3 linked regions of the Ovis aries genome follow. Each later gene encodes a partner of the first gene's protein in a complex. Links are inferred from orthologs where the notes say so. Each region holds a gene or a part of one and is shown in the gene's direction. Other genes may lie near its edges.

Region 1 (3,638 bases):
CTGAAAGGAACTTTAGACATCTCATTATCTCTCTTATTGTACAGGTGACTAAAGCAAAGCCCTAAAAAGTTAAGTGATTTGGCCAAGATCAAATAGTCTGTGGTAGAGCCAGGACTCTCCAGAGGGCCAGTAGTCTTACAACTCATATTGCTTCTGCTCAATTAACAAGTATCCTTTAAGCAGACAGGGGCTTACCAGTCTTGGGCTTGCTTGACAAATCGTGCACTGTCTCACAACGTTAGGAAGCACTCCTGAAGAGCCTGGTTTTTGTTTGCTTCTCAGTCTCTCAGAGAGCACTGCCTGTTCTGGGACAGGAGGAACAAATAGAGAATGGAAGCCCCTCATAAAATCTGGAGTGAGCAAATTCTGATTATATTTGTAAACAAACACACAGTTCCTGTTGGGCTCTTGAGATTTTCTTCCTAGGTATAGGATTGTGGAGTCAGAGGGAAATGAATAAAAGAAGAAAATGTGCTTCTACTTGGTGGCTTGAAGATCTGGTTGGCATTTCTTGTAATCTTGAGCTCTAGTCAGAATGGGAGGTCAGTTGGTGATTTATTTTTTTTTAATGTAGTCCCATCTGTGTTCTCATCCTTTCCAATTATTTGGGCCAGAAGGCTCTTTTGTAGAATCTGATCAACTCATTCCACTACTCTACCCTTCTGTGGCTCCCCAGTGAGGGAAGTAAAATCCAAGCCAGTCATTCAAAACCTTTCGTGAGCTGCCCTTTGCCTGCCCATCACTCAGGCATTGTCTGCTTCCTCTGTGCCCATTTCCCTATAACCCAGCAATTTTTTCATGTCCCTCTGCTTTCATGAATCATCTTTGCCTGGAAATAACCTTCTGCTTTGTCTAAATAAAGAAGTACTTCTTGGGAATTCCCTGGCAGTCCACTGGTTAGGATTCCGTGCTCTCACTGCCAAGGACCTGGGTTCAGTCCTTGATCGGGGAACTAAGATTCCACAAACTGCATGGGATGGCAATAAATCAGTAAATTCTTTTTCCATGCCCTGCTCAAGTGCTTTATTCTTTGTGAAACCTTCCCTTTCTCACTTCCATCCATGTACCATGGCAACATTAATCCCTCTGCCCTCTTGGCTATTGCCCCTTGTGCAGGCCTCTTATCACTTGTTTAGCTCCTTGAGAACAGAACATTTCTTTTATCTCCAACAGTGCCTGCCACAATCACTGAACAGCTGATTAGGACATCTGCAAAATATTTTGCTTAAATTACTGCCCTACTCACTCTTCCTCTGGCAAATCCCAGATACATTTTGGGTATACAAAACAATGTGTGCAGGCCCCAAAGTGGAAAGTCTGGAAATAGCTCCCAAGTGCTGCGAAGGATGATGAATTTATTCTCCTAAAGAGCTAAAGGTTTCAACAATGCCTTCTCTGAAGAGAAGGAACAATGGCTTGAACAAAAAATGTCAGCCACTTCAAGCTTTCCTGATTATTGAGGCAGCAAACATCCTGACACAAAAATGATTGTGTATGAAGTGTGTTGGATTCCACACATGAATGAGTTATTGATGGGGAAAGTGGAGTTGTCTGCCATATGTATTGCTTTGACAAACTCATTTCTAGATGAGGAAGGCTTGCTTAAAGGGACAGCGGAAAATTTGTTTAAGTTAGAAAAACTGTGGCCATATTAAATCAAATTTGGATGAAATTTTGTATAACAACAGTGACCTTAACAGAACTGCTGTTCTTTTTCCATATGACATTCCAGACCATTTCTATTGCCTTTAATGTATTTCTTTTATGTAATTATAAATAACTGTTTTATATTTTTCTTATTTGCTTAATAATAGTTTATTTATAAACATTTTTGCATTCGATCTTCAGAGTGTTTTTAGGATTTGCTTAATAATAGCAACCAATTAGAGGGCCTGCTGTGTACCAGTATTCTATCTGTAATCCTCACAGAAGCCCTAAGAAGTAAATGTTATCCCCATCTTACAGACCAGAAACAGGCTCAGAAGGGTTAGTGGCCCAATAATATAATACATAACTCTTTAAGTTGCAGTGACTGATTCAGTCTGGCCCTAAATCCTCATTCATTCCACTCTGGTCTTCAAACACTAACATAAGCGCTCGTTGTGTTACAGTGTGTGTATGAAACCATTTATTTTTTTCTGTTTGACATTAGGTTATTTTCAGTTGAACTGTTTCCCTTACCTTTCCTAACCAGAAAACCATGAACTTACAATTTATTTTTCTTTTAATAAATATGCTTTTCCATCAGATGTATGTGTGTGTATATGTATTATGACATTAAACGAACATTTTTAAACCTCTGTTTTTGCTAATATGCAAATATCTGTTTTGTACATTTTACATGCAATCAAAATGCCGTTTTCAAATGAAGTCATTTAACTGTTTTTATATAGTTGTTTGTAATAGTTTGTTCCTAGTTGCAGAGAATCATAGATTGTGTTTTAAAAGCTACTTTGTTTTTTTAATTCCTAATACATTTTGTTATGAATTAAAAATAGCCTCTTTAAATCCTCTTATTTTTTGTTAAACTTAATATTTGGCAGTCATTAGTTTATATTTTTCTAGCCAAACTTAGTAACTTTAACTCTGTTTTTAGAAAGACAGGAGTTTTTCCTTCTTTGATTTTGTGGTAAAGGAGTGCTTGGCCCAGAGGCAGATTAAGAAGGGATACCAATTTTCCCAGGCAGTTGACTCTTTAATAACTGTTTCTTTGCTGTTCACAATTTGATTTCTGGGAGTGTCACCTTGTTTTGTTTTGTAGGTCTGGGACCTGCGCCAAAATAAGCTGACCTACACGATGAGAGGTCATGCAGATTCAGTGACTGGCCTGAGTTTAAGTTCTGAAGGCTCTTACCTCTTGTCCAATGCAATGGACAATACAGGTAACTTTGGAAAAGAAAGCTGTCCATGTCAGTCGCTGTAGAACCTAAATAAAATGGGCATTAGGTGCTGGAAATATGTGCTGGGGTAAAAGAGAGTCCAAGGAAAGAGCCCAGGATGGCTTGCAGGTATCCACCAAGGCAATTAGGAAAACAGATTGTAATAGAAAAAGCTTTAGAAGAGATGGTCAAGAAGCCAGGATGATAGTCCCAAATCTTCCATCTAATCCCTGAACATCTTTACACATAGCATTTGTTCTTTCTGGGCATCAGTTTCTATACTGATAATGTAGACAGTACCAAGCTCAGATGATCAACAGACCTATTGATATCTCAGTTGTATTCTTTCTGCCAGTCTATTTTCCCTCCCTACTCCAAAACCATTGATGTGACAAGAGGTCCTCATTAAAACACCTCAATATTCTGGATTTACACTAAGATATTTGTTCTTTCTTCACTTGTTTTTGAGTTGTTGGGTGGGAAGATATATTTTCCATAGCAGAAAAGGAAGATGACATCTTGGATTAAATGCTTAATATTGGAAGAGTTTGGAAATGCCCCTCTGGTATACTAAAATGTTTTCACTAACATTTTGTAATGGAAACTGTGCCTAACCCTCAAAGTGAAGTGAAAGTCGCTCAGTTGTGTCCAACTCTGCAACTCCATGGACTGTACAGGCCATGGTCCATGGAATTCTCTAGGCCAGAATGCTTGAGTGGGTAGCCTTTCCCTTCTCCAAGGAATCTTCCCAACCCCAGG
Region 2 (4,368 bases), on another chromosome or scaffold:
AGACCCTAATTAGTTTTGACCCAGGAAAGCAGAAGTAAGAAGCTCTGAGATGCCAGGGGTGTTCACAGTCCATTTCAGAAACAGAAAACAGTGCACTCATGACATCAATGATGTGGAACTACTTGTGGCTGTTAGTTGGAATAACAAATGTTTAGTTTCCCAACACAGTGTCAGATAAATCCAATTAATTGTACAAGTATGAAGCAGAACCAGAGGCCAGACAGCAGTCAAGCAACAAGTTCTGCTTATTTAAAATTAAGCAGACACCAGTGACTTTCTCAAGCTGTTAGCAAAAGAAAAAAAAAGCAGAATACAATTTGCATATTTCTTAGTTTGCAGATCTTTTAAAATAACATTATGAGATAGCACCAAGAAAAGAGGGTACCTTTGCTTGTTCTCCACATCTTGAGTTTTCATCTGCCTGGAGTCCTTGATAAGCCTAACCTGTATTCATGTCTTGCAGAAGGTCCTAGCAAAGGTCACTCCTAATTAGTTGATCTGTAACAAGCATGGACCTGATCTTCTAATTTGAATGCCCCACCCCACAAGCGCCCACACACACCTTGCATTATTTTTGGCTCCATATAACTTAGTATTTTATATTTTTATCTTGTCTCTGTCAGGCTGGTCCCCACCCCCAACCCTCTGCCACTGTAAATTCAGTAAGCGATTTGTTTCTGATTTGTTCCTTGCTATATCCCTGGGTACTAAAACTGTGCCTGGCCCACACTGAAAGTGTTGGTCGCTCAGTTATGTCCGACTCTTTGTGACCCCATGGACTGTAGTAGGCCAGGTTCCTCTGCCCATAGAATTCGCCAGGCAAGAACACTGGAGTGAGCTACCATTTACTCCTCCAAGAGGGTCTTCCCCACCCAGGGATAGAACCTAGGTCTCCTGCATTGTAGGCAGATTCTTTCCTACCTGAGCCACCGGGCATTTTGCTGCTGCTGCTGCTAAGTCGCTTCAGTCGTGTCTGACTGTGTGACCCCATAGAGGGCAGCCCACCAGGCTCCCCCATCCCTGGGATTCTCCAGGCAAGAACACTGGAGTGGGTTGCCATTTCCTTCTCCAATGCATGAAAGCGAAAAGTGAAAGTGAAGTCGCTCAGTCGTGTCCGACTCTTCGCGACCCCATGGACTGCAGCCTACCAGGCTCCTCCATCCATGGGATTTCCCAGGCAAGAGTACTGGAGTGGGGTGCCATTACCCACCTGAGCCACCAGGCACTTTAGGTTCTTAATATAGTTGAATGAAATGAATGGGTGTAATACTCACGAATGATCAACAGAGGGCAACAGAAATTCAGTAGGGGAAGAAATGAAAATGTTTTATTCCGAGCTTCGCGTACAATTACGCGAGATTTGAACTCGCTCGGCCACCGTAGTGCATAGGCCGGAAAAGAGCAGCCACTTCCGGCCTCAGCGGTCCAGGAAGATTGTTTTGGACTATCGGAAACCGAACCCCTCGGTTCTCAGGCAGCTCCATTCCGGAGCAGAGGCTCCATCCTGGAGCTCTAGGCCCCCGACCCGCCCGGCCGCCGACGTGGCAGCTGGAGACACTTTCAGGGCCGGGAATAGGGAGCGTGTTGTCGCCATGGCGACACCGGCGGGGCTGGAGCGCTGGGTGCAAGACGAGCTGCACTCGGTGCTGGGACTGAGCGAGCGGCACGTGGCCCAGTTCTTGATCGGTACCGCGCAGCGCTGTGCCTCGGCAGAGGAGTTCGTGCAGCGCTTGCGAGACACCGATACCCTGGACCTCAGTGGGCCGGCCCGGGACTTCGCCCTGAGACTCTGGAACAAGGTGCTGGGAGAGGCGGGACCGGGCGTGGGAGCGGCGGGAAAGTGGGTGGAGCAGGGGAGGGGCCCCCAGGTTACTTGTCCAACGGAGTTTGGGCTCACTTGGGCTAACTGTCCAACGGAGAATTAAGCTCAGTTTGCAAGCAGTTATCACTTTCGGGCTGGACGACCACTTCCGTGGAGAAGGTTGAGGAGGGCTTAAGGGTTGACTCATTGGAAAAGACTGATGCTGGGAGGGTTTGGGTGGGGGCAGGAGAAGAAGGGGACGACAGAGGATGAGATGGCTGGATGGCATCACGGACTCAATGGACGTGAGTCTGAGTGAACTCCGGGAGTTGGTGATGGACAGGGAGGCCTGGCGTGCTGCGATTCATGGGGTCGCAAAGAGACGGACACGACTGAGCGACTGAACTGAACTGAACTGAACTAAGGGTCTACAGAGCAGTGTTTCTCAAACAGGTTTAGGATTCATCCACGGCTTTTGTTAAAATGAGGATTCCGATTCGGTAGGTCTGGGATGGTTTCTTCATTTCTTCATTTCTAACAAATCTTGTAAGTTTTCGGGTGATGCTGGGTGTTGCCCACCCTTCGAAGAGTGAGTCTATAGAAGAGATGTGTGGGCAGTGTTGTGGGAGGGTAGAAGTGGTGTGGCTGTGATCGAGAAAAGCAGGCCCAAAGATTATCTGGAGTTTGTTGGGTAAAGAAAGGGGAAGAGTAAAGGTGTAATGGTGAGCTCCTGGAAGGCAAGACTGTGATTTTTGTCTTTGTATTCATACCATCTAATTGTAACCTGCAGAACAAGAGCTCAGAAATTATACAGTAAGACTAAAAGTGTTGAACTTGTTCATGGCAGATAACTTGGTGTGGCTGTCCCATTTGCACTTGGTGAAAGATGAGAACGTACTTGATGTGAGGGTAGGAGCTCTGTGTTAATCCGTTCACCAGGGTATCTCTGGAGGCCACTACAGTGCTGGCCCGTGACAGGGCTCTGCAAAACAATCTGGACAATCCTTGTCCAGTCCTTGGGTAGGAATGACTTAGTCATCGGGAAGAACAGAGGCTGAGCAGTTGAGAATTGAGTGTGAGAATGTAAAGTCCATGAGGGCAGAAAGTTTTATCTCTTTACCCCTATATCTCTAGTACCTAGCAGGGGGTGCATGGGATAGGCTTAGGAACTGAGAGACCCCATTCGGGCTGATGGACATGGTGTGAAGCCTTGGGGAAGAGACAGAATGACAGCTGGTTTAAGATCAGTTACTCCTTAAATTAGGAACTGGGCAGAGTAGGTGGGCAGAGATCAGGAGTTGCTTACATCCCCTTGACTTCTCTCTCTCCCGACAGGTCCCACGGAAGGCAGTGGTGGAAAAGCCAGCTCGGGCAGCCGAGCGAGAGGCCCGAGCCCTGCTGGAAAAGAACCGCTCTTATATGTTGTTGGAGGACAGTGAGGAGAGCAGCGAGGAGACTGTGGGCAGGGCTGGGAGCAGTGTCCAGAAGAAGCGGAAAAAACGGAAACACCTCAGGAAGAAACGTGAGGAGGAAGAGGAAGACGAGGAGGAGGAACAAGTTTCTGAGAAAGGAAAGAGGAAGACAGGGTAAGTCAGAAGTAGGGGGCGAGAGGGTGATGGAACAGGAAGCCTCTGAGTGCCCTCAGTTAATCCTCCGGGGTGGGCTGCAGGGAGAAGAAAGAGCAGACGGAAAAGCCGGAGTCGGAGGATGAGTGGGAGCGGACAGAGCGAGAGCGCCTTCAGGACCTGGAGGAACGCGATGCATTCGCTGAGCGGGTTCGGCAGCGGGACAAGGATCGGACTCGCAACGTCCTGGAGCGGTCAGACAAGAAGGTGCATTGGAGCAGCACTTCCCATCAGTCCCCAGGCAGACCCCTGGATCCGATCTGAGGTTGGGTGTGACCGCAGATAGTGATCTCTGGGAAGACAAGGAGCCGCCTCCAGTAGTCTGGTCATCTCTTTGGGTCTTTGGGCTAAGGTGGCTCTCTGCTGAACCTGTAACCACAGAGATTCCTCAGTGAAGGGGGTACATTTCTTTGTGCTAGGGAACATCTGAGTGATCCTTGTGATTCTAGACAGGAATGGCTGTGGGCACGGGGACTTTGACCACTCTTGCCTTCTCCTAGGCTTACGAAGAGGCTCAGAAGCGCCTCAAGATGGCTGAGGAAGACCGGAAAGCCATGGTGAGTCCGTGTGCCCAGGAAGACAAAGGGAAAGGCTTCCTGATGGAGTGGTTAGGGTAGGGAGGAAAGATGCAGAGGAGGTGTGGTGGGGCTGTTGGGTCTCTGGTTGAGGCGCCAGCTAAGGATAGACTTAAACTGTAGTGGGAAGGAAGTGGCCCAGAAACCCTCTGACTCCTTAGGATCAGATCAGACTGTATGTTAGTGAGGGAAGTATTTCCCTGTTCCTGGGACTTAAAGAGGTGTACTCAAAAGGCAGCTGGAAGGTCAAGGGGCTGGCTGGAGGACAGGGGCAGGGCAGGGGTCACACTGCCCAGGGATGTGCTGACCGCTGAGCTTGTGCACACCATCTCCCGGTACCTTCCTATCATCTAATCCCTCCGTTTCC
Region 3 (4,074 bases), on another chromosome or scaffold:
TGTGGGGTAGAGCCCACTTCTGTCCTGTCCCTAGATCTTTACTGCTCCATCCAGACAGGAGCAGAGAAGCCCCCTGGCCACATTGGGCTGAGATAGACTTCCCCAGGTCGAATCAGCTCTCCTTAAAATGTGAAGGTTCTGGTGAGGGGCCTGGGGACACTACCCTGCAAGAAGCAGCCAGGGTCCCCAAGCCCCAGGTGTGTGCATAGGGCTGGGGCTGATCACAGCCACCTGAGCCCACCAGGTGGGGGCTGCTCCCAGTGGGGCTGTGGCAAGCTGGAGTGTGGCAGTCACTGTCCTTGCGCAAGGCCCTTGCCCTCCAGAAATTCACAGCCTAAGCCGCTTCCACCCCCACATTTTGAAACACGCTGGAGTCCAAGAGGGCCACCTTCCTCCCTGGTGCTCTGTCACCTGACCCCTTCCTGAGAAACTGAGAAAGGACTAGATAGGAGGGCTTCAGCATTCTGGGCTCCCCACAACCCAGAAAGCCACCAAAGTAGTATTTCTGGGGTCCGATGGTGCTGCCCCGGGTGCGCCCCGCCACCTGGCAGGCTCAGCTCGGGACTGGGGAGCAGAGGATACCAGGCGCGCTGACTTGTTTTCATCTTGGCCTCGCCTCGGGCATACAGGGTCACAGTTCCCCCACCAGGGATCCAAGCGTGTCCCCTCCACTGGGAGCAGAGTCTTAAGCACCGAACCACCAGGGAAGTCCTCACTGGGCTTTTGGGAAGAGCCGACCAGAAGGTAGTGTCAGAAGAGCCACAGAGGGGACACAAGGAGCAGGCGCTCGCGTTTCCACGGCGTCCCTGGATGGTGGAGGGGCGGGGACTGCGGCCCATCGCCAAGCGCGGGTGCATCTGAAGGTGCTTCTACCCCGACAGTCCCCCACACAGGCGACCCCCGGCACCTCTGAGCTCCTACGGGCCCTTGGGGCTCGCCTCAACACAACCGCAGGCTTCAGTCACCACTTCCATCAAGAGGCGGATCGCCGCCTGCGAGAGACAAAACGCTGGAAGCGGGCCCACGCTCAGCGACGGCCCCGCCCATCGCCCCTCGCCTCGTCGCCCCGCCCCTTTGGCCCTTTGGGCGTGGCCAAGTGCCGCTTCCCCCGGAAGTCCGGAACCAAGCCGAACGTCCCGCCCAGCTGGGACGGGCCTTCCTCACGCGGCGCGAGAGTGGGTCCTTGTCTCCTGGTCCCCGACTTAGGTGTTCAGTCCCAACTCCTACGAGGTTCTGAGTCCCCACCGCGTCTCCCACAGCCCAGTCTCAGCTGCAAGCTGCTGGAGAATTCGTTTCCCCTCCCCGGCCCCGCGAAGCCAGGTGGGGTCCTAGCCCCGCGCCCCAGCCTCAACCTTCCACACTCTCCCGCCCGCTCCCCGGGGCCCCTCGCCGCCCGCCCATGGCCCAGAAGCCGAAGGTAGACCCCCACGTCGGTCGGCTGGGGTATCTGCAGGCGCTGGTCACGGAATTCCAGGAGACGCAGAGCCAAGGTGAGTGTCTCGGGGTGGGGGGCAGGGGGGGCTGGGCCGGGGTCCAGCCGCGACCACCGCCCCGACCCTGGCGCCACTGCCCGCTTCTCCATCGCAGACGCCAAGGAGCAAGTGTTGGCCAACCTCGCCAACTTCGCCTATGACCCCGGTAACTACCAGTATCTGCGGCAGCTGCAGGTCTTGGATTTATTCCTCGATTCGCTGTCGGAGGAGAATGAGACCCTGGTGGAGTTTGCTATTGGTAAGGATGGGGCGCTCTCCTAGGTGCCTGATGAGGTAACGAGTTAGAAATGAGTTGTTGGGAAAGGGCTCTTCGGCCGTCTCTCAGCAGCGAAGGCAGACTTTCGTAGTGTCTGTAATGCCTCCGCGGCCAACACAGCGTACAGGTTCACGGGTGGCTTGAGTCTGGCCTGGAACCCACGCCCAGGACCATTTCTACCTGTCTACCTTCCCTGTCGGTTAGAGGTAAGATCATAAATGGGAATGGATTGAAGCCCCTTGGAGGGGCGGGGTGGGGGCGGGGGAGTTGAGCGCTCTTTTAAAACCTCTTTATCTTATATGTTTCACCATCAAGAGAAATAGCGTTCACTCGGAAGGGCTTATGGCACCTGTAGTTGTTCTGGTCTCAGACCTATTGATTTATTCACACGTCAGGTGTTTGTTGGGCTGGTACCCTGTGAGCAAAGTATTGTTCTAAATGCTGGTGAGATGGCCAACAAGTTGGGAAAAGATCTTTGCCCTCAGGGAATTTACATTCTAGTAGAGAGAGACACAAGGTTTACACACAAAAGAAGCTGAGGCACTGAAGAAAACAGGCTGATGAAGAAGAGCAAGGGAAGGAAGGGACTACTTCTGGTTTGGCCCTGGCGGGAAGGCACAGGCCGGGCCAAGACCCCAGAGCAGGAGGAGCCAGAAGGAAGGCTGATGTGGCACCATTGTGGTGAGTGAAGCCCAGAGTGGTACTAAATGAGAGAGAAGGATTTAGTGCTGCTAAATTAGAGAGCACCTCGCACCAGTTTACAGGGATTCAGATCTAGGCATTGGGTGGGAGTTTGGAGTTTATTCTGAGGGCAAACCAACATTCCTGGAACTTCCCTAGTGGTCCAACAACTAGGACTTTGCTTTTCCACTGTAGGGGCGATGGGTTCCATCCCTGGTTAGGGAACTGCTGCTGTTGCTAAGTTATTTCAGTCGTGTCTGACTCTGTGCAACCCCATAGACGGCAGCCCACCAGGCTCCGCCGTCTCTGGGATTCTCCAGGCAAGAACACTGGAGTGGGTTGCCAGTTCCTTCTCCAGTGCATGAAAGTGAAAAGGGAAAGTGAAGTCGCTCAGTCGTGTCTGACTCTTAGCAACCCCATGGACTGCAGCCTACCAGGCTCCTCCGTCCATGGGATTTTTCAGGTAAGAGTACTAGAGTGGGTTGCCATTGCCTTCTCTGGTTAGGGAACTGAGATCCTGCAAAAAGCAAACAAAACCAACATTCTTTCTGCAGCATGTGTCTTTAAAAAATAACATTTCTCTGCATAGTGAAAGGAGTCTTATCTTCATAGGGAATGAACTTAATAATTCCATTGTCACCAAATACCCAGTTAGGCAGACTTCTCTAATAGTTCCCAAGCGGACATTTTTTGTTGTTCTGTATAAACCAGGATCCATGCTCTTAATCTGGTTGTTATGTACGTTAGATCTCAATCTCTCGCTCTCTTTTGAAAGAAACTTTGTATTTTATAACAGTAGAAAAATTGCGAAGGTAATACAGAGTTTCTATGTATACACACCGAGTTTCCTTATTATTACCATCTTACATTAGTATGGTACACTTGTTACAATTAATAAGCCAATAGCAATAGTCCTGTCTAACTCTTTGCAACCGCATGGGCTGTAGCCTGCCAGACTCCTCTGTCCATGGGATTTCCCAGACGAGAATATTGGAGTGGGTTGCCATTTCCTTCTCCAGGGGATCTTCCTGACCCAGGGATAGAACCTGCGTCTCCTACACTGGCAGACAGATTCTTTACCACTGAGCCACCTGGGTACCCCTGTTATTAACTGAAGTCCATGCTTTGTTCTGATTTCGTCACTTTTTCCCTCATAACCTTTTACTGTCTCAGGATTCCATCCAAGATCTTATGTTAGATTTAGGCTCCTTTGGGCTTTGCTGGTTTTAGACTTTTTCTTTTTGTGAATGACCTTGGCAGTTTTAAGGAGTACTGGTCAGGTATTTTGTAGGTTTTCCTTCAGTTGGGATTTGCCTGACATTTTTCTCGTTATTAGACTGGGATATGGGTATTGGGGAGGATGACCACAGAGGTAAATGGTAAAAGGCCATGACATATCTCCTCCAACTGAAGCTATTTTGGGAGGTAGAGGGGGGTGCTTCCCACGTGGGATCTTAGTTCCCTGACCAAGGATCGAACCTATGCCCCCTGCAGTGGCAGTGTGGAGTGTTAACTGCTGGACCACTAGGGTCTCGACTCTGCAGAAAACTTTGCTAAAAAGAGCAGTCGGGAGGGAGGTGGGAGGGGGGTTCATGTTTGGGAACACGAAAAATAAAAATAAAAAATAAAAAGAGCAGTCAGCCA

What was found.
Region 2: SNRNP40 (region 1) and DHX16 share a complex: the UniProt entries of both Homo sapiens proteins name them as parts of the minor spliceosome. The link is inferred for Ovis aries from reciprocal best matches to the Homo sapiens genes SNRNP40 and DHX16.
Region 3: SNRNP40 (region 1) and ARMC7 share a complex: the UniProt entries of both Homo sapiens proteins name them as parts of the minor spliceosome. The link is inferred for Ovis aries from reciprocal best matches to the Homo sapiens genes SNRNP40 and ARMC7.

The regions. Positions count from the first base shown.
Region 1 is NC_056055.1:236,108,814-236,112,451, forward strand, and holds part of SNRNP40 (U5 small nuclear ribonucleoprotein 40 kDa protein), read left to right. Parts: intron 1-2,761; coding exon 2,762-2,882; intron 2,883-3,638. UniProt on the Homo sapiens protein: Required for pre-mRNA splicing as component of the activated spliceosome. Component of the U5 small nuclear ribonucleoprotein (snRNP) complex and the U4/U6-U5 tri-snRNP complex, building blocks of the spliceosome.
Region 2 is NC_056073.1:27,451,485-27,455,852, forward strand, and holds the start of DHX16 (pre-mRNA-splicing factor ATP-dependent RNA helicase DHX16), read left to right. Parts: upstream 1-1,436; 5' UTR 1,437-1,592; coding exon 1,593-1,799; intron 1,800-3,136; coding exon 3,137-3,387; intron 3,388-3,470; coding exon 3,471-3,633; intron 3,634-3,926; coding exon 3,927-3,983; intron 3,984-4,368. UniProt on the Homo sapiens protein: Required for pre-mRNA splicing as a component of the spliceosome. Contributes to pre-mRNA splicing after spliceosome formation and prior to the first transesterification reaction.
Region 3 is NC_056064.1:55,673,295-55,677,368, reverse strand, and holds the start of ARMC7 (armadillo repeat-containing protein 7), read left to right. Parts: upstream 1-1,142; 5' UTR 1,143-1,399; coding exon 1,400-1,490; intron 1,491-1,587; coding exon 1,588-1,731; coding exon of another isoform or gene 1,732-1,744; intron 1,745-4,074. UniProt on the Homo sapiens protein: As a component of the minor spliceosome, involved in the splicing of U12-type introns in pre-mRNAs.